Linked DNA regions of Tamandua tetradactyla. The protein of the gene in region 3 purifies or fractionates together with the protein of the main gene of each other region. This does not show direct contact. Links are inferred from orthologs where the notes say so. Each region holds a gene or a part of one and is shown on either strand. Other genes may lie near its edges.

Evidence for each region.
Region 1: the proteins of AMOTL2 (region 3) and LATS2 purify together in Homo sapiens (affinity purification with western blotting; 3 studies listed by BioGRID). This does not show direct contact. The link is inferred for Tamandua tetradactyla from reciprocal best matches to the Homo sapiens genes AMOTL2 and LATS2.
Region 2: the proteins of AMOTL2 (region 3) and NF2 purify together in Homo sapiens (affinity purification with mass spectrometry; 5 studies listed by BioGRID and IntAct, with this or other methods). This does not show direct contact. The link is inferred for Tamandua tetradactyla from reciprocal best matches to the Homo sapiens genes AMOTL2 and NF2.

The regions. Positions count from the first base shown.
Region 1 is NC_135330.1:186,945,998-186,954,614, forward strand, and holds the start of LATS2 (serine/threonine-protein kinase LATS2), read right to left. Parts: upstream 3,447-8,617; 5' UTR 3,231-3,446; intron 1-3,230. UniProt on the Homo sapiens protein: Negative regulator of YAP1 in the Hippo signaling pathway that plays a pivotal role in organ size control and tumor suppression by restricting proliferation and promoting apoptosis.
Region 2 is NC_135331.1:33,434,090-33,441,534, forward strand, and holds the start of NF2 (merlin), read right to left. Parts: upstream 3,429-7,445; 5' UTR 2,525-3,428; coding exon 2,411-2,524; intron 1-2,410. UniProt on the Homo sapiens protein: Probable regulator of the Hippo/SWH (Sav/Wts/Hpo) signaling pathway, a signaling pathway that plays a pivotal role in tumor suppression by restricting proliferation and promoting apoptosis.
Region 3 is NC_135341.1:78,174,294-78,182,459, reverse strand, and holds the start of AMOTL2 (angiomotin-like protein 2), read left to right. Parts: upstream 1-4,941; 5' UTR 4,942-5,033; intron 5,034-6,299; exon of another isoform or gene 6,300-6,358; intron 6,359-6,618; exon of another isoform or gene 6,619-6,811; intron 6,812-6,924; exon of another isoform or gene 6,925-7,446; intron 7,447-8,166. UniProt on the Homo sapiens protein: Regulates the translocation of phosphorylated SRC to peripheral cell-matrix adhesion sites. Required for proper architecture of actin filaments.

The DNA.
Region 1 (8,617 bases), on a different chromosome or scaffold from region 3:
ACTTAACTTATTTAGGAGCTAAGGATTGTGCATTATGACACAATATCATAACAATCAGTGTTAATAAATACAAACCACTGCTACAAAATTTAAGGTTTTGCATTTTTCCTCCAGAGAAACTCCTACGTATTACATAACATATAAACAGTACTAACAGTATTCACTCAATAACTGAAGAAAAAAAAAAAAAGACAACACAACTTAGTTGGCATGTTCTAGATGGTAACCAATAAACAGTGAATAGCAAACATCAAGCAATGTCAAATTGGCATCTTAAGGTTATCATCATACCCAATATCTTTATTTTCGACATTATCTTTAAGTTGATGCTTTCAAAATGAAACTTGGTTATTTATAAATAAAATAACATTAGCCTTAAAAGCACGGGATAGAACTAACACAATGAAACAAGCAGCCCACCTTCACAAACTCCCAGAGATACCTTTCAGAGTACTCTATGTAAATGAAGCCATTAGAGAGGGCACATTTACATTACACAATGGAGATGGTGCCCCCTGGAGGAGTGCAATTTGGAGGCCCAGTTCCATCCAGACAGTTACTAAACAATTGGCTTTTTAAAAAGGAAGGAGATTCAGAGAATTTTTCCAGCTGGAAATCAGTCGCTTTAGGAATTATCAAGCCCATTTATTTAGTCAGGACAAAGCAAATGCACTGAAATTTATCTTTCAAACTGTTCAAGCCCACTCTTTTTTTAAAAAGGTCATTTAGGAATATTCAAAAATTTGACACTATTACAATGGTGAAAAAATAAAAAAGAAGCCTCTCAAAAATTGTGTTCGACTGGTTTTCTAATATAAAACAGAATCCCAACCACTACCCCAAAGCGTCCCCAAATCTTACTTGACTTCCTGTGGGTTTATGGTGAATTTATCAGCTTACTTACCCCTCCATGGGATTTAGGAGCCCTGAGCTGGCTATTTACAACACAGCATTTAAAATAACAAGGCATCCTCTTATAAAAGCATTCCCCGCCTACCAAAGGAAAATCCCTCCCACCAACCTTGTGATTTGCTGAGAAATATGTACAGCTCCAATTTACACTTAACCCAGAACTATTTCAAACTAAATGGAAAAAGTTTTTTTCCAGTTCTAAAATTCTATGGCTCTAGTAATTCCTCTTAATAATTTTGCATGACAGCCTTCACGCAGACACTTTTTTTAACTGCTTGACATTTTGAGATTTATTAAATGTCCAGCAATTTAATTTCAAAGGAATGCTGATGTGTTCATTAAACAGTATATACCTCAGACAAAATGTTATGAGAGGCTGAATAACTTGGTGTCTTGTTAATTATAGTTCATCTAAAACAGGCCTTATTAACAGTTTCAGCATTCTTATTTTGGAAGATTTGTCTATTATTACCTTACTACAACAGTCGTTAAAGTTAAAGAAAAAACTTATAAAATGCAAAGTAGCTTAGCCTTCTGATTTAGTTACCCCCGAATAGTGATCCATCATGCAGGGAACTTAAGCCAAGAATAAACAGAAAACAGTTAAAAGAGCAAGATCTATTCAGTACAAACTTCCTAATAAGCCACGAGTTATCTTCTCCATTACTAAAGGATGGCCCTCACATGTACTAAATTAATATTTTAACCAGAATATCTGTACCAGAATCACACACATTTTGTGGCTTTTCATTGAAATCTCAGTATATACAAGTTTCTTACTAAAAAGTGTGCAACCTTCCTAAAGAACGTACCTATTTGCTAAATACTTTGTGAAGAGAGTAGTCCAGCTTCTAGTTCGGATTTTTACCTGCTAAATGTATACTCTCTGGCTGTAACAGTTAAGGTTAAATAATTTTTAAAAGCCTTAGCCTACCACCCTACTAAGAACACTCTCACTTATCCTACAGAAAAGTGAAACTGCAAAAGTTCTCGCTAATTTTTTTTTTATATACAACGAAATCTACACATAAAGTGTAACTCGTGACTCTGCTTGCAAGAGTATTCCTCGTCCCACGGTCTCCAAACGCGCTAGGAGCCTTGCTTTCCCCAGGCCGTGTTTTGGGGAGACTGTGCAGCTCCTGACCCCAGTAACCCGGGTCCCGCTGCGACTGCCCGGCGACCCCGGGCCAATAAGGTGTGTCCTACCTCTACCGGGGTCTCCGCCCGCCTTGACCCGTGCGCACTGGGGAGCTGCGATAAACCCTCCACCCGCGGCTCCGATTAGGCCCTTCTGCCCACCCCGAGGCTGCACCCCCGGGAGATGCAGTTCCTGAAGTTTCCAAAATCAGGCGCAACGAAAAGAGATTGGCAAGGATATTGGCCATATCGGAATCGGATCTCCGGAGTTTGGCTGGAGAACTAACCCCTTGTGAAGTTGTCAGAAAAGCTAGACTAGCCCCAGAAAAGTCCTGCTAAACCAGGACGCAGGACAGGCACGTTATGCAACTGCCACCACTCTCACCGCCGCGAAAGCGCGCCTGAAACTCGCACTGGGTCCTGCGAAGACTCGGAGGCCCACGCGGAGAGGCCGGGAGCACAGGGCTGGCCGGAGAACCCAGGAGCCAGCCAGGCTCCCCCCGCCACCTCCACCCACGGCCGCGGCCTGAGAGGGGCGGGCGGCCAGGGGCGCGGGGACAGCACCCGGGCGCGGAACCGGCGCAGCTGTCAGGACCGCCCCCCACCCAGCCGGGCCTGCGCGCCCTCGGGTGCGAGCGCCCAGTTCCCCTCCGGAAAGTGACGGCGAGCGGCGCGCCCCGACAGCCCTGCGGGGGTACCCCGCGCACGTCGCGAACCCCGCGCCCTGATCCCGGGGCGGCCCACTGCTCCGACCCAGTGGGACGCGGCGGCGGGCGCACAACAAAGCGGCGCAGCCCCGGGATCTGCTCCCGGCCCGGCCCCCGCCCCGCCGCAAACTTCCCGGGTTCCGAGAGGCCCCGAGGACCCGCCGCCGGGGTGGGGAGGGGGGAGGGGGTCCCCGACAGCCCGGCGCCCCTTACACGCGCCGGCCAAGGGAGTCCAGTGGAGACAAGGCGGCGGAGCCCCCACCCCCACCCCCGCCCAGAAAGTTCCTGCGCCCTCTCCGCCCCCCACCCCCGCCGGAGCGGCCGGGCCGAGCCGGACGCCCCTCCCGGAGCCTCCGCGGCCGCCGACAGCCGGGGGACAGGAAGCCTCGAGCTCCGCCGGGCCTCGGCGAACTTTGGACAACTGAGCCGCCCCCGGGCCGCCACCCCACCCCCGCGCCCCTGGCGCCTCCTCACCTCCGGGGCGTCTACACGCTCGGGGGGGTCCTCGCGCGCGACCCCGTGGCCCCTCGCGCCGGGAGAGCCCGCACCGGGGCCGGGAGCTGCCGCTGGCCCCGCAAGGAAGGGGGAGCCCCAGCCAACGGCGGCGGCGCGGGCAGCGGCTGCTCCATCTTCCCGAGGCGCTCACGCCGCCGTTCCAACGCGCAAACCCAAGTGGGACATTCGCTACATTGTTGGCATTCCACGGGCGTCACGTGACCCCGCCTCCCGCGTCACTCCCGGCCGCATACCAGCCCGGGCGGGGCTCCCGTCGGCCGCGAGGTCCTGCTGCTCGGCGGCCCTGCTGCTGGGCGGCCCGGCCGGCGGGCTGTGCTCGCTGCCCCGGGGCCGCCGCCTGGCCCGCCGGCCGGCAGATACCCCAACTCCAGCCTCGCCCTCCCTCGACTGCACTTCTGTGAGAAGTGACAGAGGCAACTCTGTCACTAGTTTCCTTAAGTGTCTCACACCGGGCTTGGTGAAGAAAGTTAACAGGGGCGAAGGCGCCTCCAACTTACAAGAAAGGGCCAACGACTAAAATTAAAGACAGGGCACACAGCTGTTGGGATCACGGAATCAAATAAAAATAAAGAAGGGCGCCTAATGCCTCTCGAAATTTAATCAGATTTAATTTAATCAAGCCTCCCTGCTCTGTGTATTTTGTGTATGAGCAGGCTTCTGTGGCGTACAGAGCTGTGTAATGTATATGAACAAGAGTGATTGTGCTTTTTGTATGTCAACTTCGTGACCATGACACTCTTTCCATTTGGGGGTTAGGGATTTGGCAAAAGGACATTTGTAGGAATTGTATAGAGATACGGAGTGGGAATAAGAAACTGGAGATCAAAGCCTTAATCTGTTTCTGGCTCTGCTAACATCTAGTCCGTGGTAAAAGCATTGGGGAGGGCTGTTATGGCTTTAAAAGGCAATCCAATTTCCTTTTTAATTAATAAACTCTTTTGAAGGTTTTTAATTTTAATCTTGGAAGAAAGAGTAATGAAAATCATTATCTCGGTACTATTTTAATACCGTAGCCAGCCTGCAGTCCTGGTCCACCCTTCCTCCTGTACTTGGTCTCTGTAGAGTGCACCCAGGCTTTCAGGCCTGCCACTGTCTTAGCACATCTAGGAAATCTCCCTGATTTCTCACTTCTTTAAGCTCTCATAGCTAAACCGCCATCATGCCATTTAGAATTCAATTTCATTTGTAAAAAATCTTACACTGTAGGAGATATTCTATAATTGAGCCCCTCTTGCATTCACCAATAATATCTCTCTGTGTCTTTTCACTCATACACACTCAGGTCTTACATTCTCCACCCGGACCCTAAGCCATGTGATCAGCTGCAATCGTATGCATGTGTTTAAAAGTCCTACTCCTGTTCTCTCTTAAAAGGTGAAAAAAAATTGTCAAATAAAATACTGTAAACTGAAGGGAACTTAATGACAGTAACGTGTGAAATGCCTAATAAAATTTTGCCATTACAATGACTGTTATAGCATGGTTTGCAATAGCGACAAATCAGGAGAAACCCAAATGTCCAACAGTAGGGGAGTAGGAAAATAAAAGGTGTATATTCAAATGATGGAATTTATACACTAGCTAAATGAATGAGTTAGTTCTATGCTTGTCAAAGGATAAGTGATCAAGGATAGAATTCAAAACCAATGTGGAGTGAAAAAAGGCAAATTGCAGAAGTTCATCTACACTCTGATACTGTATTTATAAATAAAAATTGCTACAGAAACTATACTACACTTTATAAAAGGATCGCCATGGACAGCAAGAGCACACACCAAATCCATGACAGCTGTTGTCTATCAGAAGGAAAGAGAAATGACACAGGGGAGAGAAAAATAAGGACTTCAATTTTATTGGCATGCTTTTCCTTTTAGTTAAAAGAAAAATGAAGCAAAACTGGAAAAATCTTTAAAATTTGTTTATTCTGAGTGCTAGGTTCATTAATGCATGCTATAGTCTTCTTTGTGTTTTTTTACATTAATTTTTTTTCATATATGTATATACACACATATACATATGTAGAGAGAGACTAAGACAACTTGGAAACAAGTAAATTTCCATATGGGGAATATTCTGATTCATGACTTTGTGGATGTGTGTTTACTGATGTGGAGTCACTCATTCTCTCTCACTCTGTTTTTTTTATTTTATTTTATTTTATTTTACATGGGGAGGCCCCTGGAAATGAACCCGGGTCTCCAGCATGGCAGGCAAGAACTCTGCCACTGAGTCATCACTGCCAGCCCTCTCTTTGTTTTTGAGTGTCTGCTATAAGCCATGTGTTAAGCCAGGCACTAGGAGTCACAGAGAGCAAAATTACATGATTTAGCCCCTGGTGGAGCTTCCAGTCTGGTAAATATGCTCAAAAAAAAGCAAGTGACAAATTGCAAAACAATAAATATATATTTTACATATATTAAAATCTAGAAATGCATACAGCAAAATGTTAAAAGTGGCAGTCTCTAGGTGTAGTGATTCTGGGTGATTTTTGTCTTATAGTTTCTAAGTCCTCTACAGTAGAATTGTAAACCACAAAAATATTTTTAAATAATCAGCTAAATCACTACAACCATATCATTTATTCGGGTGAAAACCTCTTGGTTTAATTCTAAAACCACAAGGCCAGCTGAGCACAAACCCTATAATAGTTGCAAATTTGCAGTCTATAAATTAATGAATCAACATAGGCTATATGTATGTACTCTTGCTCTGAACCAAACACTGATCTCAGTCTGTGCATTACCTCATTGAATCCTCAGAACAACCATGTCATTATTAACCCCATTTTGTAGAAGACGACCCTGAAACACCAAGAGCCCAAGGAATTTGTCCAAGATCAAAGAGCTGAGCTTCAAACGTGGTAGTCTAAGTAGGAGCTGGGAAACACTGCATTGTAAAAGCTCTCTCAAGGTGATCTCGAGAAGATATGATTACACTGTGCTTATAAATAAGGAAACTTAAACCAAATTCACTCCCTTACACCTTGTCTGAGGGAAGAGAAATAAACTCTGTGGATCAGAAAGAGGGTTTCCCAAAGGTATGTGCCTCCAGCACCAACCAGGGCAAAGAAGTACAAGGAATTCCCTGTAAAGCAAGGCCCCTGAAGTCCCAGATGTGGGTAGAGGTGGTCTCTGTAGAGACCTGAGGCTACCTGCCCACACTCCTTGGCTCTGAATGCAAGAAACCTGGTTACCAGCCCAGCCTCCCTATACCTTAATCCTGGAAAGCAGGTGTTGGCCTTTAGGCACAGTTTTTGGCTTCTTGAAAAGAAAAATTCCTCCTTGTTTGTAATCAGTGTGGAGGAGACTTAGCAAATCTGCCTAACTACAGAGAGATGCATTCTGTGGGGAGGAGTGAGAAAGCAGAGTGGGGTCCATTTATAAAAGGCCAAGAAAGACAGGAAGAAAATGAGCTACCCAAGATTTGTTTAATTTGTTTGAGGCTGGTTTCATAGCCATATATTTTGTCTCCTTAACTAGATTATAAATTCCCCCCTCCCCAAAACTGCATAAAGAGACTCTTAAAATAGCTAAATTCAATGGATTGAATGCATTCTTAAAGGATGCATTAACGCGCCAATATCAAAGTTTAAAATGCCATCATTTTCCTGAACCAACCACTCTGGGCCAGACAGGGAGATATCCTGTTCCAATCGCCTTTGGAGTTTGGGCTTCTGCACGCTTGGGGGAACTTGCAGAGAAGAATTAACAATATCATTCCTCTTAGTTGGGGGCTTCTTTTCAACGATGAACTCTTTTTTTTTTTTTTAACATAATAAAATTTGGATACCAGGGGGAAATCCTCAGTGTAAAATTTCAATTCTTACATGTTTCCCAATGTTAAAATTATGATAGAGTACACTTTTTTTCTGATTTTAATTTATTTTTAAATGCTTAACTTCTAGCTATTTTGGAAAACAGAATCTCCTGGAAAACGCGGTGAAAACCCCTTGTGCAGATAAAGGAGAAGGTCGAGAGTCCCAGAAAGTTGTGCAGGGTGACTTGCCATTCCTAGGACCTGCCCTTCCAGCTGCTTTCAGTGACATGGAGCACAGCTTCATTCTCTGAATAGCCACTCTGCTTCTCAGATGAGTAACCAAGTATGTGATTGCATAAGTGAGAATTGCTCAATAATTTGAGAAGATTCATTCCCAGAAGAGCTCAAAGAAACACTGTCAAGATACGAATCACATTCTGCATTTAAAGAATTCTTATGTTGACACTTTACATTACTAAGAGAAGGATTGCTAAAACAGACTTTCTTTTCTTACTACCTCCTGTTGGTTTACTTTTTATGCTGCCTGAGCTATGACAGCAACGCCAACTATTTACTTTATTTCTCATTTCATTTATAGTCAGCTGCAAGTTCTGTTTCCTTTGCAGACATGAGCAAAATGGTGTTGTGTCTGTAACTGTGTAACTGAAAGAAAAATCCCACTGAAAAGGTGAAGTTTTACTTTATCTATAGGCTTCAAAACTTTCCATTAAAAAATCACATTGAATCTTGTGGGATAAACATTGATAACACTTGCTTTAGGGAGAACAAAAAAGTGTAAAGTCCAAACCCTTGTCTCAAACTTTTTTCTATAATAAAATTAACATTTTCAAAGTCACTGGGGAAACAGCTGAGTTAATCTAAATTGGCAATAAATATTTAATTGTGTAATTGCAAGAGAACCATTTTCACATTCCCTTTTTAGCTTTGAATTTTAAATTAACTACTAAATGTTGTTTTGGTCATTTCTTAGCAGTTGCTTTTAAGACCAGCCATTTTACTTTATCAGCCAGATCAGAAAAGAAAAACTGAGCCTTATCTGTTATCTTCTGCATGATTCATAAATGGGTTTTGATCACAAAAGTGATGAGATTATGATAAGGTGGGTTCACATGCAGAGGCAGGAGGGGGTCAGTGACAAAGAGGCTGCCAAATTTCGGAGAGAAAAGGAAAATCTAAAAAGTCAGGAAGCAGTCACTGCAGATTGTATTTGATAGTTGATAACTCCAGGCCAAGAAGAGTTTCTGGGTTTGGAGCTGGAACTCGAAAAACTCTGTCCCAGGGCTAATACTGCTTCAGAAAGACAGAGGTGTGAGGAAGAACTGATGTTTGAGGTAAAGATACCTGGAAGGGGAGAAGGGCAGAAACAAAGTCACGAGAAAAGCCTGGTATTTAAGGCATGCAGAGAATGGACTTCGGACAAAGAAGGGAGGTTGTTAGAGAAAGAGGGACATGAAGTAAACAGAAAAACCGAGCAAATCAGATGGCATAGCCCTGTAATCAGGGAAGGCAACCTCTGGGAGCCGCACGCAGACCTCACCCTACAGCCAGCAGGAAAATGGGGACCTCAG
Region 2 (7,445 bases), on a different chromosome or scaffold from region 3:
AGTCTTTGTCTGTTAAATTGGACATCTGATTGCTCTCACAGAGAGTAATTGTTGCCTGCTTTCTTTTCTAGCACTTGGGTCATATTTTCCTGTTTCTTTGCATGCCTTGTAATGTTATTTGTTAGAAACTAGACACTTTAGATAATATATTGTAGTAATTCTGGGTACTACCCTCCCCTCAGAGGGGAAGGGCTTGTTATTTGCTTGTATATGTTTTGTTGACAGGCTAGATTATTTTAGGGAAGTCTATTTCCCCCTCCCTATAGGACTAAGGCTCTGATGTTGCTCTTCAGAAAGCTTTGGGTATGCCCCAGTCATCCTCGGATGATGGTGGTTTGCGTAATGGTCTCTTCCTCTCTTTCCCTGACCATACCCAGTCATAAAGCTACACTAATTACTGGTTGATGTGTCTATTATTTTCACCAATACCCTGAGAAATAAACTGCTATACAAACTAACCTAATCGAACTATGGCTCCTTTGAGGGAATAGCTTCTCAGATCAGTATGTGATATTTATTCAGATCACAGAAGGGCTCCTTCAGGGGTCCAATTCCCCTATTGTTTCCCAAAAACTACCCAGCAAACAACCTAGGCTGAATTTTCATGAAATCCATGAATATTTTCCACATACACCACTGTCTCTGAGAGCACCCTTAGGCACAAACTTCTCAATGCTCTGTAGCAAACGATGTCAGTCCTTTGGGAAGAGATTAGGAAACATCTGTTTTATGACCTGCTTTTCCTACCAAGACAAAAGATTCTGAACTAGGGCTCTGGAACTGGGTTTGGGGATACTAGCAAGCTCTCTTAGTGACATCTTGCACTGGGGACATCTTGCACTGGGCTTGCGTCTCCTGGCATGGAACCACCATCTCATGTGCTAGAGCTACCACCTCTAGACCACATTCACCCAGGACTTAGCCACAGCAACAGGTGGCTGGGGACAGGATTTGAAACACTGAAGTCCTGCTTCTCCCGTGAAGAAAACCCTCCAAATACGAGCTGGAGGGAGAGGGAGCCCTGTGGTCTTGACTGTACCAGTCTTGGGATTTATCAGTCCCACCTTGCTGAGCTGGTTGTGGGGAGGGAGGGATCTGTCTTGGTTCAAATACCACAGACGCCTGTCTTTCTTACTGACTTTGAGTAGATTTTCTTTCTTTGTTACTCACCCTTAGGACCATTTCCAAAAGCTAAAAATAATTGTTAAAATAATAATAATCTAAAAAATAATTGTTTTTAGAGTGGGCAACAGTGGTTCAGTGGCAGAGTTTTCACCTGCCATGCCGGAGGCCCAGGTTTGATTTCCGGAGCCTGCCCATGCCAAAATAAATAAATAATTGTTTTTGTTGTTGTTGTCCTTTTTTTTTTTCTTTTTGCATAAGCAGGCTCAAGGAATTGAAGCCCAATCTCCAGCATGGCAGGTGAGAACCCCAGTGGGTCTGTGGAGCCCATCCCATTGTCATACTGGAAGTCAATTCTGTCTAAGACTGATTTTGCACTTTAACAGTAGGCTTAAAGAGTTCAGTAGTTGTAACAGAGAACTCCATGGCCTACAAAGTCGAAAATATTTACTACGTGGCCCTTTACAGAAAAAAAAGTTTCCAATCCCTGACTTAGGTCAAGGCTGCTGATGCTGTGGTCTGTAGACCACACTCTGAGTAACAAAAACTTAATTACCTGAAAACAGTACTGTGCTGACTAAAAGCTTGGTTCAAAGTCCCACTCTGCCATTTACTAGATATATAGTTTGGGGGGGGGTAATGATAATAATAATTGTACCTACCTCCTTGTGTTGTGAAGATCAAATTTGTGCATGACTAACACTTAGAAAGTATTCAACAACGATAACTATTATCATCCTGGAGTAATAGTGAAAAGTAAATAGAAGCCACCATCCTTTCTGTCAAAGAATCTTTTCCTGAAAATTTAAACTTTGAAAACAGGAAGCAAGGACAGGCTTTCCAATAGACAAGATGCAACTTTCAATACTTGGGGTGCTTAATAATATTACCTAATGAAGTTAAAAACTCCATTACCTAATGAAGTTAAAAACTCAGAGCTTAAGCTCGAAACTGAGAGCGATAATTCCCTGCCACAGATGCTTCCAGCCTCTTCCAATAGCAATGAATGAAAACAACCTCCAGAAAGAAAGTTCTCCCAAACCCTCAAAGCCCCTGGAAGAGAAAACACCTTTAACACGAGGATTTAAGCCCAGACAGACCCTTCTGGTTCTAACCCTCTCTACCTACGATCAGCAGGTGATGTAAGCAGAATCCCTCACACTTCCACCTGGACTGTCACCGTGGCAGCGGCGCCTCGGTCGGTGCCCAACCCCGCGCCGGGGCTTGGTGGAGAGGGGTTTCGGCCCAGCTTCCCCTCACCGCTGCCAGTCGGGGCTGCGGGCGTTACCTCGCAGTTGAATTCCATCTCGGCGTCCATGGTGACGATCCGCACGGTGAACGTCTTGGGTTGCTTCCTCTTGAGCGAACTGAAGCTCATGCGGGAAGCGATGGCCCCGGCCATGGCGCGGGAGTCGGGTCCGGGCCCCCTGCCACCACCACCCCCGCCCCGAAGCCTGCGCTCTGGATCTCTTAGCCCCCCTGGAGGAGCCGCACAGGCCTCAGGGCCACCATGGTGGCCGGCCGGCCGGCCCGGGAGCTGTCTTTGCGGCGCGGGCGTCTAGCGGCCCGCATGGGCCGCGAAGACCCTGAAACCCGGAGCCGAAAGGGGCGTCGGGGGGCGGGTCCTGCCCGCCGCGTGTAGAGGACGCGAGCGAGTACTAACGGGGCGGGCGCAGCCCGGCGCTCGGGAACGCCCGGGATGCCCGGGACCCCCGGGTCCTCCGGGAATGGGGCCCTCCCCGACGGCGGCGGCCCAGACCCCGCGCGCCTCTCAGCGGCCGACCGGAGTGGCAGGGCCGAGCTGCAGCCGGGAGCGACGCGCTCGCGCGCGCGGGCCTGTCACCGTTCCCGCTCCGCGCGCCCCCGAGAAGCGTCCCCTCACCCGAGTCCCCAGCCCGCTCCCGCCCCGCCCTCAGGCCCCTCTCTCAGCGCAACCGAACCCGGCGGTTGCTGGGCCACCCTGCGGAGCCCGGCGACTGTGCGGTTGGTTGAAAACTCCAAGGGAGGCGGGGCTTTCCAGCTCCGTCCCGCCTCCTTCAGAGCGGCTCCATCAATTAGAAGTTGCGCCCTAACTGGAGATGCAGAGCTTGGACTCGGCCCTGAGTGGCTGGAGCAGCAGCCACTCCGAACACTTTTGTTCTTAGGCTCACGCCTTCTCTAGCAAGATTGGTTGAGGCGTCAGCTCCCGACGCGCCTTTCTTGCGTCCCCACGCACGGGCTGGCTCCAGCGAGGGAGCCAGGTCCTCCCCTGGTCCTCTGAGGCACTGTTTTCTGGACGCAGCACGCGCGAGCGTCGCGCCGTAGGAAAGTGCGTTTCGGACACGCGTTGAATATTCCTGTTTGGCCCTTAATTACATATAGTGACCTCACGAACACTTAGAACGCTTGTGGAGTCTTCTTAGGTTGTCGGCACTATCCAGCCAGATCTCTCTGCTTCGCTTTAGGAGAGATAATATTATCGAAGGGGGATAATAATGTGCCTACCTCGCAATGTTAAGCGAGTTAACATATAAAGTTTTAGAACGGTGTCTGACAAACAATAGGTTGACTGCTGTGATACTGCTGTTTTTGAAGGTCCAATACTGTCGTAAAATTGAAAGCATTTCTCATTTTGTACTTTATGTGATTTGCATCTTCGAACTATACACGTGTATTAATTATTGTTTAGTATTATAAGAGTTATAACGGGTGTGAGAGGCAATTACACCTTTCTGTATTAAATTAATAAATTATATTTTCCTATTTTACAATAATCATTACTATCCAAATAGAAGCAATGTTATGCACACCGTAAGTGCTCCTTAAATGTTAATAATCATTAGCATCGCTCTCGCCCTACAGATGAAGAAATTGAGAGGCTCGGTAGAAGACTGTGAACTTACTGGAATAGGGAGAGGCAAAGCTGGGATTTGAACCTAGGTCTCGCAGATCAAGAGCCTGCTGGTGTCACGACCATGTTTCCCTGGTTGTGACTTCCAAATTGCTCCCTGTTGCAGCCACGAAACGTGAATTACACTTCTGGAGCACTCTCCAGACACTGTTGCTGTAAGTGGATAATGGATAAATCTAGCTGTTCCCGGCAAGCCCCTGCTGTGCCATGAAACACCAGCCCTGCCTCAGCAATCATTTACTGGCACACCAAGAGAGATTTCATCTGGGGAACTTAACTTTATGTCCTGGATGCAGCTAGCAAATTGTCTCCACCGAACTGATTTTTCTAGGCAATACTGGCTTGGCGTGGGAGTGTCTTCATTTTCATTGCTTCAGTTCTTCCCTGCGGGTGAAAGAACAGGACTCGATTCTCCTGTGGCCTCCCCACTGGGACAGCAAATCAGAGCTTTAACCCAGGGCCAAGACTACTGACAGAAAATAAGTGACTCTGGGAGCTAATGGAGGAGTAAAGGAAGGAGGTGGATTCAACAACAGGGACTAAAAAATAACGTAGGTGGCCAGTAATAGCTCCTATTTGTGGAAGGCCTACTAGGTGCTAGGCACTGTGTGTTAGAGGTAAAAGCTTGAATTCAACCTTCCGGGAGATCATCCAGGTATACCTATGGGTCTGAATCTCAGAAGGGAGGGGCCAGGAATAAAATTAGATGGAATATTATATAGGCATTGAATTGCCATTCACAAAGAATAAGCAGATGATGATAATACCCACCAGATAAGGGTTTGAGGAGGGTACAGTGAAATAAGGTACAGCATCTTAAGAAAGAACCAGTACATAGACACCAGTTAATAAATATCTACTGAGTGAATAAATGCAGGACATGAGGAAATGCTTATGTTCTCAATGATGAGAGCCCAATCAATAGCTACCATACATGAAGAGCTTACAATATAAGGCACCCTGCAAAGTGCTTTGCATACTTTGTTTCTTTTCATCTTTACCAAAACTCCTTTTGGTAGTTATTTTATCCCTGATTTATCCGGGAAGAAACTGTTATGGCTAAAATGAGGTAATTATCATCTCTACCATGATCATAATTGATAGAGCTGCCTCTTCCACCCAGACGGCTTTAAATCCAGATTTAAGCCTGATTTACATCGAATTCAGCCATTTCTTCCAGAAGACCAGTGGTTCTCAAAACAGCACTGTCAGCTTTACCTGGGAACTAATTAGAAAAGCAAATTATCAGGCCCCACCCCAGAAGAACTGAATCAAAAACTCTGGGGTTGGGACCCAGGGGCCTTGTTCTAACAAACCCTCCAGGGGATTCTCATGCATGCCAAAGTGTGTGTGTGTGTGTGTGTGTGTGTGTGTGTGTGTGTTGTGGGGGAGGGGGAGTGATTCTCAGTCCTATAACCCCAAGGAACTGAATTTTGCCAATAACCTGAGTAAGCTTGTGTCATGGTCAGGTTCATGTGTCAACTTGGCGAAGTGGTGGTACCTGTTTGTCTGGTTGGGCAAGTGCTGACTTGTCTGTTGCAATGAGGACATTTCATAGAATTAGATCATGATCATGTCAACTGCATCCACAGCTGATTCCATTTGTAATCAGCCAAAGGGGAGTGTCTTCTGTAATGAGTGATGCCCAATCTAATCACTGGAAGCCTTTTAAGGAGGATTGAGAAGAATCCTTCCTGCTTTGGCTGGTGAGGCTCTCCTGTGGAGTTCATCCAGACCCTCCATTGGAATCGTCGGCTTCACAGCCTGCCCTGTGGATTTTGGACTCTGCATTCCCGCGGTCACATAAGACACTTTTATAAATTTTATATTTGTGAGTGTTCCCTGTTGAGTCTGTTTCTTTAGAGAACCCTAACTAATACATCTTGGAAGAAAGCTTTCTTCTGAGCTCCAAAGAATACTGCAGTTCTCATCCGAGAGGGATTTTGCCCCCAGGGTACATGTGGCAATGTCTGAAGGTTTTTGGTTGTCACAGCTAGAGGATGCTCCTGGCCTCAGGATGGTATTAAGGATCCTGCAACTCACAGGACAGCTTCCATGACAATGAATTATTCAACCCAAAATATCAATAGTGCCAAAATAAAGGGACCCTGCCCTAGAGCAGTGATTCTTTGCTCTTTTTTAATCAAAAACATTCTACCGAGAATCTGATGAAATCAGTGGACCTTCTCAAAGGAATGCACACATGCACAAAATTTTGCATATGCTTTCCAGAAGTTCATGGAAAGTTTCCTCCAAAGCACATCTATAGAGCCCAGATTAAGTCAATTTGTCCTAGATGCTACATGTGAACTCTAGACTGTGGCCATTCTGCCTAAATCTGGACTGCTGCATTGTCATTGTAGCTATTTGCAGAATTACTTTTCCTACACATTGGCACGAAGGTAGTGTCCTGCAGAGAAGCTGTAATAAGAACTAGCCCCAAGGAATTCTGACAAAGGTTCTGACAGCATCCTTTCTATAAAGACCCACCAGAGAAATCTCTTATGCTGCAGCATTTGTATTTTTCATGGGCAACTGGTTTGCTTGTTTTGTTCTTGTTTTTAGTAACTTTTATTCTGTTTTTCTTTATTTTACAAGTAATTCACATGCTTCATAAAAAGGAAATTAGAACCCACAGATAAGCAGTATGGTAGGCAGAATTGTAAGATAACCTCCAGTGACCCACTCCCTTGAATAATGCTCCCCTTGAGGGTGGGCAAGACTTGTGGTATGTGTGATATTCACCAGTGATTTTGTACTTTGCATGGTGAGAGGGATTTTTTGCAGATATAAAGTCCCCAATCAGATGAGTGACTCAGAAAGAGATTATCCTGACTGGGACTGCCACAGAGTTGTACACTTAAAAATGGTTAAAATGGAAAATTGGGTGATACATATATCCACAATAAAACTTTTTAAAAGGAGGTCTAATACCAGTGAGGAGCTGAATCCCCAGGACAGTCCCAGAACAGGACCCCACAGCATCCTCTTCCTCCTCTGACCCCATCCTGGACTTCACCATCTCCCTGGATGTGGCCAAAGACAGAACACATCAGAAATACCGCTGCAAACAGGCCCCGCAGATGTACTGGAGCAAGAAAAATGAACTTTTCAGCAATCTCTGAGCACCTCTGCACTAGCCATCAAGGAAAGCTGGAAGGGCTGAGCCAGCCCCCACCCCAACATCTCTTCCTATTCCTCCTCCCCACCCACCCCTGAATCGATGTACCAGTCAGCACCAACATTGCCCTTCTCGGCAAATCTGATTTTTCTAGAGAACAAAAATTCTTCCCATACATTAGGGAAGGTGACTTTTTCTGTCCTGCCCCAATCAAAAAAGCAGACTCTGTCCCTTACTCCTCACTTGAGGGCTTCACCCTCCATGTGTCACCTTGACCCCCTACCTGGGACATCACTGGGACTTGCACCAAGG
Region 3 (8,166 bases):
TGTGATTGTGCAAACCTTGTGTCTGATGCTCCTTTTATCTACTTTGTTAACAGATGAGTACAACATATGGAATAAAAATGAATAATAGGGGGAACAAATGTTAAAATACATTTAGATTGAAATGCTAGTGATCAATGAAAGGGAGGGGTAAGGGGTATTGTATGTATGAATTTTTTCCTGTTGTCTTTTTATTTCTTGATCGAATTGATGCAAATTCATGATGATGAATATGCAACTATGTGATGATATTGTGAATTATTGATTATATATGTAGAACGGAATGATCATATGTTAAGAATGTTTGTTTTTCTTTCTTGTCATATTTTTAAAAATTAATTTAATAAATAAAAAAAAAGAAGACAATGAAGCAGCTCCTTCAAAATACACTGAGAAAAGTATGTCTAGCTAGAATTTTATACCCAGCAAACTATCAATAGCGTGAGAGGTTAAAGACATTTTCAGAGACTCAGGTTTCAAAGGGTCCCCCCCACAGATCCATCCTTAGGAAGCTACTAGAAGACTAAATCCAAAAAGAGGAACCCAAGCAATCCACCAAAAAGAAGGGAAGCAAGGGGAAGGCTCATGATAGGGATGGAGGGAGATGTTGGGATGCAGGCTCTCTGGTGGGAACCAAGAGCAGCCCATCCTTATCCTCTGGGAAGGATGCCACCAGAACCAAAATGGACCCAACAGAATACCAGTGGTATTCTGTATCTCTTCGTTACCCCTGTGCTGATTTGAAAGGACTTATGTACTCCAGAAAAGCCATGTTTTAATCCTAATCAATCTCGTAGGAGCAACGGTCTCTTCTAATCCTTATTCAGTACTACAGGTTGGAAACTTGATTAGGTCATCTCCATGGAGATGTGACTCAATACCAGTGGTATTCTGTTCATCAGTACGGGCATAAATTAGGAGAAATACATAGAAAACCAAGCAAATGAAGAAGTGAAGTAAATATTGAACTCCAATAAAAACAACAAAAAAAATATGTAAGACAGGAAATATAATCATGGGACACTAGGTAATTCAGCTGTTCACAATATTTACAGTCATAATGATATAAACATTGAATAGTAATTTATCCAGAAAGTGTCACATGACTATTCTAAGAAGGTGAGGGGAAGGAAGTGTTTATGTGTGTTTAAGCCACCTAGACCCTTATCTTTCATCTAGGAAGTATAGATAGATAACACCTAAAACAGAAAAACCATGATATATAAGAATTTGTGGATTTTTTTTTAACAAATATATGGGTGAAATAACATGACATCTAAAAGAGTTGAAAGTGGGTGCCTCTTGGGAATGGGACTTGGTGGGGAGAAGAGCGAGGCAAGGGACTGCTTTTTATATTATAAGCCTTATGGTACTATTTGACTTTTTTTTTCATTTTTTATTGAGGAATAAGTGATATAAAATAACTGCATCTATTATAAGCCTTATGGTACTATTTGACTTTTTTTTTCATTTTTTATTGAGGAATAAGTGATATAAAATAACTGCATCTATTTAAATAACTTATTTATCAATAAGTTTTGTTATATGTGTAAACCACAATCAAGATAACAAACATAGCCATCACCCCCAAAGGTTTCCTTGTATCTCTTTGTTACCCCTGTGCTGATTTGAAAGGATTTATGTACTCCAGAAAAGCCATGTTTTATCCTAATCAATCTCGTAGGAGCAACGGTCTCTTCTAATCCTTATTCAGTACTACAGGTTGGAAACTTGATTAGGTCATCTCCATGGAGATGTGACTCAATCAATTGTGGGTATTAAATTTGATTAGATGGAGACATATCTCCACCCATTCTATGTGGGTCTTGATTTGTTTACTGGAATCCTATAAAAGAGGAGATATTTTGGAGAGAGTGCCTTTTGAGAATGAGGAGAGAGCCACAGAACCACTACAGTATGATGAGAGAACCACAGAGCCCACCAGCCAGAGACCTTTGGAGATAAAGAAGAAAAACGCTGCTGGGGAGCTTCGTGAAGCAAGAGGCCTGGAGAGGAAGCTAGCAGATGTTGCCCTGTTCACCATGTGACTGTCCAGTGGACAGAGAAACCCTGAACTTCATCAGCCTTGTTGAACCAAGGTATCTTTACCTGGATGCCTTAATTTGGACATTTTTATAGACTTGCTTTAATTGGGACATTGTCTTGGCCTTAGAACTGTAAACTAGCAACTTATTAAATTCCCCTTTTTAAAAGCAATTCCATTTCTCATATATTGCATCCCAGTAGCTAGCAAACTAGAATTACTCCTGGGAAAGGAGATATAAGTGGCAGGAGGTCAGCAGCCACTCAAGAATGGCTCAATACTTTCTGCACCTGTTTTAGCAAACCAAGGGATATGGATCTGTGCTTCTATGCAGGTTTTCCAGATCCCAGCCTATGGGTTGACATGTCACAGTTCTACTTGGTCTTTAGCACTTAGCTTGTAAAACGCCTCCTTCAGGAAGCCTGCTATGACTTCCTCCACATGCCCAGGTACCTTCCTTCAAGATGGGAGTCTCCACTCTGTAGTGTACTTGCCTGTTGTGACTGTGAACACAGCAGGCCATGAGTTCTACAAGGATGGAAACCCCCTTCAATAAACTGGGCCTGGCTCAGAGTGGGAGCTCAGGAAATATTTGTCGAATGAATACACAAAATCCAAGAGCAAATAACTGCATGGAACGGTGAGTGAGTAAGTGAGTGCATTCAAGGTGTTTTCTCAATGTCAATGACAGAAGGTTGCTAGACTGTGTGAAAGCCCAAGGCAGGCTAAAGCAAGAAGAAAGTTCAGAAACACAACTCGGGCCCGTTCTTACAGGAGAAAGTCCTGTTCCCCAGGATGAAACCCTGTCCAAACATCTTCCCCCCCAATCAAGGACCCAAGGGCTACCTTGGGAGCCCTGAGCCCAGCTGACACTTTCTCCTGGGGATGAGGGTCACTAGGGGGCACTCTTCCATCACACTGGCCCTGCCCCAGTAGCAAAAGGCATGCTCTGGGCTCCACCCTACATCCTAGGAGGTCCTCCCTACTGTCACAGTTGGCCTCTTCCCAAAAGCAGAGGGTCTTTCCAGGCAACAATGGCATGTCCACCAAATCAGCACAAGGTAGCTTTGCAGAGAAGGCAGGTGTTAATATTTCTAAGTGGTCCTGCCTTCTTCACTGCCTGGAATAAGGCCCTCACCTGTCCTCTTCCCCAACTGGATGGCCACCTAGGCAGGAATAAACTGAAGGGAAATATAGTCCCCCACTTTGTCCATTTACTCATTGCTACTCATTAGACACATTTTCTGTGCGCGACACAATGGCGGAGGTTCTGGGCAGTTATAGACCCCAGAGAAGCGGAAGGAAGAGGGAGAGGTGAGGAGAGCCCCCTCTCTAGGTGGGACCTCGCCCTGCAGGAAACACCTCAGCCTGGGGCCTGCAGAAGCCCTGGAAACAAAGGGCTGCAAAGCAAGGCTGGGGACCAAGAGTCGCGTGCACTCTGCAAAGTCGGGGCTCCTTCCCTCTTTAAGGCAGCGCCCTCTTACCTCAACGATTGTGGGGCTCCATGTCACAGATGTTCCATCTCAGGAGGAACTAACCGCCTGAGTAAACGCCAGACTCCACGAGGCAAACTCTGCCTGATGCGAATTCCAGGCCTGATGCCTGGGAGTGGAGGTGGGGGCAGGGGTGACAGTGAAAGAAGGCGCTGCAAAAACCTCCGGGGGCAGAGGGGGCGGACTAGGGGAGAGGTGCAGTAGCTGGATCCCGCTTTGGATCCTGGAACTGGAGCATTGGAACTCCCACCCCAATGTGCAGGTTCTTCCCGTGAATTTGCTTCCTGCCCCAGATGCTGGTGGGCCTCCTGTTCAGTCAAATTCTCCAGGAAAGGTTGGAAGGAGGAATCTCACAACCAGCAGAGTCCCCTTTGATGGTGCCCCCTGGGCCTGGAGCCCCTCCTTCATCGACTGACCATTTGGGAAGTAAGGAGGGGTCATTCCCTTCCCAGCTCCCCAGAAGGGGCTGTGACGAGGGTCAGCTAAGCACCCTCCTTTGTATTTCTGTGGGTGCAGACCAGAGCACAGGCACAGTCCCAGGCACAGGCTAAGGAGGGATGTGGGTGTGTGCACCTGGTTCCCGCAAGCCCTGTCCACACCCACTATGCGGCCACACCCCAGGGAGCTGCGCTCTCCACACCAAAGGCCTGGCTCCCTCTGAGAATTGGGTCACCTCTGCATCTTTCCTGGGCAGAATTCCAGACCCAGCCATCCACACCACACTGTCATCAGGGAAGAATCATTACCTGTGCCAGAGGGCAGGGGCGGGTGATGGGGGTGGCTGACAAGGTGGGCCAGGCCTGAGAGAGACAAAGCTGGGAGGAAAGCACTGGCTCACTCGGTGTCAGATACACACACAGTGGCAAGCCACTCTTCCCCTGATATAAGTGAAGATTTATGTGCTAGCAGGCTGACCAACCTAGAGTTCACCTATGCACACCTGCCTCCAGCACATCTGAGCTATGGTCACCCTCTCACCCAACCACCCTGCAGAGTCAGGGGTGGCTGCCAGCTCAGGCAGGCTCCAATCCACTGAGGTCTCAGCCCTGCCTTGCCTGCAGAAGCTCTGTCCTCCATCCTTACAGGTGGAGGAGAAAAGAAGGGAAAAAAAAAAACAAACCTGTAAATTTCCCATCCAGGTTTTGGGGTCCCTCTCCCCTCTCTGTTGTTGTGGCTGGCTGGCTCTCCCCAGGCCTCCTTAGCCCCAGGGACACAGAGGTTATCAGCATGGGGGAGCCTTATTCAGAGGCCGAAGCAGGCTTCCCACTGCAAGACCTACCTCTTTGACTAGCTGCCCTGAGCTGGCCCCTTTCTGCAACCATCTCAGGAATGTTGGTCAGGCATTTCTTCAGGTGCTCCCTGCCCCCACCCTGAGAGACAGGACTGCACCATGTGGCCTTTCCCCTGATTTTGCAACCCCAGAGTGCACACGTACACACACACACACTCTCACACCTCCGTCCAGTGTTTCCAAGAGGAGCGCCATCCACAGCCGGGGGGTAAGACAGCCTGGGGCCCTTTCCTCTCTTCCTTTTCATTTCTAAAATTCCTACCTAGTCTATCCCAGCTGGCACAGGGGCACCCTGGCCATGGCTTCTCTTTGTGATGTGCTGCTAGTGGGGAGGGGGGCGAGCCTCCCTTAGCTTGGCCCAATGGCTTGTTTTCTCATTCATCCCAAATCTAATCACTATTTGAAATGCAGATGCGCATACCTGTCTTGTGGGGGACTTTACTTTTCTTGTCTCCACCTCCTCCAGCAGCTCTGGGAATTGCAAACTCCATGTGGGGGGATAAGCGGTGGGGGGAGGACCCGGCCAGGGGTAGACCCCCCGTGGACCTGTGGAGGGCCCAGTGTGGTCAGGGCTCAGAGATAGAACAGAGCCCTGGGGAGGAAGGCATGGGGTTTCCACAAGTGACCAGCCTGGTGGGAGGGTGGAAGGAGGAAGGGGCATGGGGGCAGAGGAGCGGATTCCACGTGGAAGAACTGCAGCAGCAGCAGCAGGGGACCCAAGGGAGAGCCGCTGGCAGGCAGGCTGTGTGTGTGTGGGGGGGGGGGGGGAGGTGAAGAAGAGGCTGCAACCAGGAGAGGGCAGGTGGCCATGGGGTGGGCTGGGGGGGATAGCAGCACCTACCCTGCCCTCCTCGGCACCCTCGGATCTGGTGGCCACTGAAGAGCTTTTAGAATGAATTAGACTCTGGGCAAGCTACTTAGCCTCTGCTAGCCTCGGTTTCCTCCCGTGTAACACAGGGATGATAACAGAGCTCCCTTGGGGAACTGGGGGGTGCTGGATGGGATGACTGCCGCAAAAAGCAGTGGTGGCCCAAGGCGCTCTGCGTAAAGGGGCGCTGGTGACCACCTGGGGGACGAGTGGGGCCGAGCGCCTGGCGGCGGGTGATTCAGTTGGTTAGGCGCGTCAAATTAACCAGTGGATTTTTTCAGCCCAGATTCACACTTCCTTAGGGAGACAGGTCCTAAAAGAGCTGGCGAAGGTGTTTGTAAACAATAAAAATGTAATTCAAAGGTTGCCGCTGGGCGTGAAAGCAGAGCGGGGAGGGGCGGGGGGTAGGGGTAGGGAAGAGGCTCGCGGCTGAACGCAGAGCCGTCTCCGCCTGCGGGGGGGCCCAGGCCGGGCGGACCCGGACCTCTATGCAGCCCACCCGCACCCCATACACACACACACACACACACACACACACGCACACACACACCAGCCCCCGCCCCTCGGATGCTCTGCGGGACACGCCGTGTACACCGCTCCGTGTCGTCTCGCCAATGCTTTTAGGGATGAAGGAGTGAGAGGAAAGCGAGGGGACGGGTGGCGAGGTGGGAGAAAATCGGCACCAACGGCTCGGACAAGAAGGCCGGGGGGCGGGTGGGGGACGGGTGGGGGGCGGGAGCAGCGCGGCCACGGGGGTCCCGGGCGGCCCGGGGGACGCAGCTCAGAGCCCGCCCAGCGCCCCGCCCGCAGCGCCGCCCGCCGGGAGGAAGGCGAGGGCCGGGAGGAGGGAGAGGGAGGAGGCGGAGGGCGAAGGAGGGCGGCGCGCCGAGAGGTTATTTGTGGTTCGCTTTGATCCCAAGGGGGAACCTGAAACTCTCACATTCCTGGCATAGCAGCCGCCTCCCGCGCGGGCCGACCCTGGGGCTGCGCGCTGGGGCCCGGAGCAGCCAGAGCGTCGGCGCCACCGCCGGGTGCACACCTCCGCCGCCCAGCTGAGCCCAGTCGGACGGGGTCGGGTCGCCGGGTGTGACGGCGCCGGGCGCCCACGGGCCGCAGCGGTAAGGAAGGCCCCTCTGCTCTCCCGAGAGTGCCCGAGGAAATGCGCCCCGGCCCAAGCGGGGGCTCCGGGGCAACCCGGCCTTTTCCGGGAACCGGATCCCGGCGGTCCGAGCGTCCTCAGGGCTCGGGGCGTCCTTTCGGGGCATCCGCAAAGCCGGGGAAGGGTAGTTCCTCCCGGGTGGCGCCGCGCCCTGCGCCCGCGGAGCTGTCAGAGGCGCTCGGGTCCCCAGGGGCAGTGGTAAGGGGCACACTCCGGGGAGAGCTGGGTGCGTGTTTGGGGTCGCAGGTCGGGGAGGAGGGGGGAGCGCCGCCTCTTGTTCGAGCTGCAGGGCCCTGGGGGCTGGTTAGATTAGGCGGGGGACGCGGGGGTGGGGCTCACAGGTGTCTTGACCTCCCAGCCAGCCCAAGAATTCCTCTTTGTCTTCCTTGGAAAATCCTCTCTGGAGCCACGGCCCGGCTCTCACTTGGGAAGAATGCAGCCAGCCGTCCAGCCCGGTGACGTCAGCACCGGAGTATTTGGAAAACAAAGAGGGCGAGGGAGGGCCGGAGGGAGGCGGACCCGGGACGCTTAAAGACCTCGCCGGGCCTCCGGCTGCGCTCGCCCGCTTGCCCCGGGGACCGCGGCGGCCACCAGGTGCTCGGGGTCGGCCGGGATTCGGGGTCGGGCGGCGTCGCGGGCTCGGGTGAGGTGCAAGTAATTGCCTCTGGCTTTGTTTGCTCGCTTGCGCGAGCGTGGGCTCAGGCCGGGACCCGAGGCGCCTGCTTGCTTAGGAAGGGAGAGGCTCGCCGCCGGGTCGCGGGCGCGGGTCTGAGTAACGGCCCAGCCCTTTGGTACCAGAAGAGACGTGATCCGGAGGGGCCTGGCCGGGACAAACCCCTAGGACGAGAAGCCCCCGGGGGCGTGCCCTGCTCCCATCACAGCATCGGGAGCCGGAATCTGTCGGGAGGGCTCCGCATTCCTTCTTGCCGCTCCCCAGTTCTCCTCGCCACAGCCAGCCCAGACAGTGATTAATTTAGGAAATGCCCTGCAGATGATGAAACGCGAGGGCAAATTGACTCCCGGTTGTTTGGTTTGTCTCTGGTAACTCTGGGGTCTTGTGTCTCCATTCCTCGAGTGGAGGGGGAGGGGCGTGGACTGCGAGTCGGGAAAGCTGGGTTCAGAGGTGCCCTCCACCCCCACCCCGGGCTCATTCCCCTCTCCCCAGCTCTGGGTGGCAGGAATTCTGGGCAGGAGGGAATGAACTGGGAATGGCTGCTCCGCCAGCATGCTAAGACTGATATGGAAAAGGGCTGCCTTTGTGGCAGAGAATGAACTGCATTCCTCTTGTCCCTCCCCCCCCACCACCACCGCCAC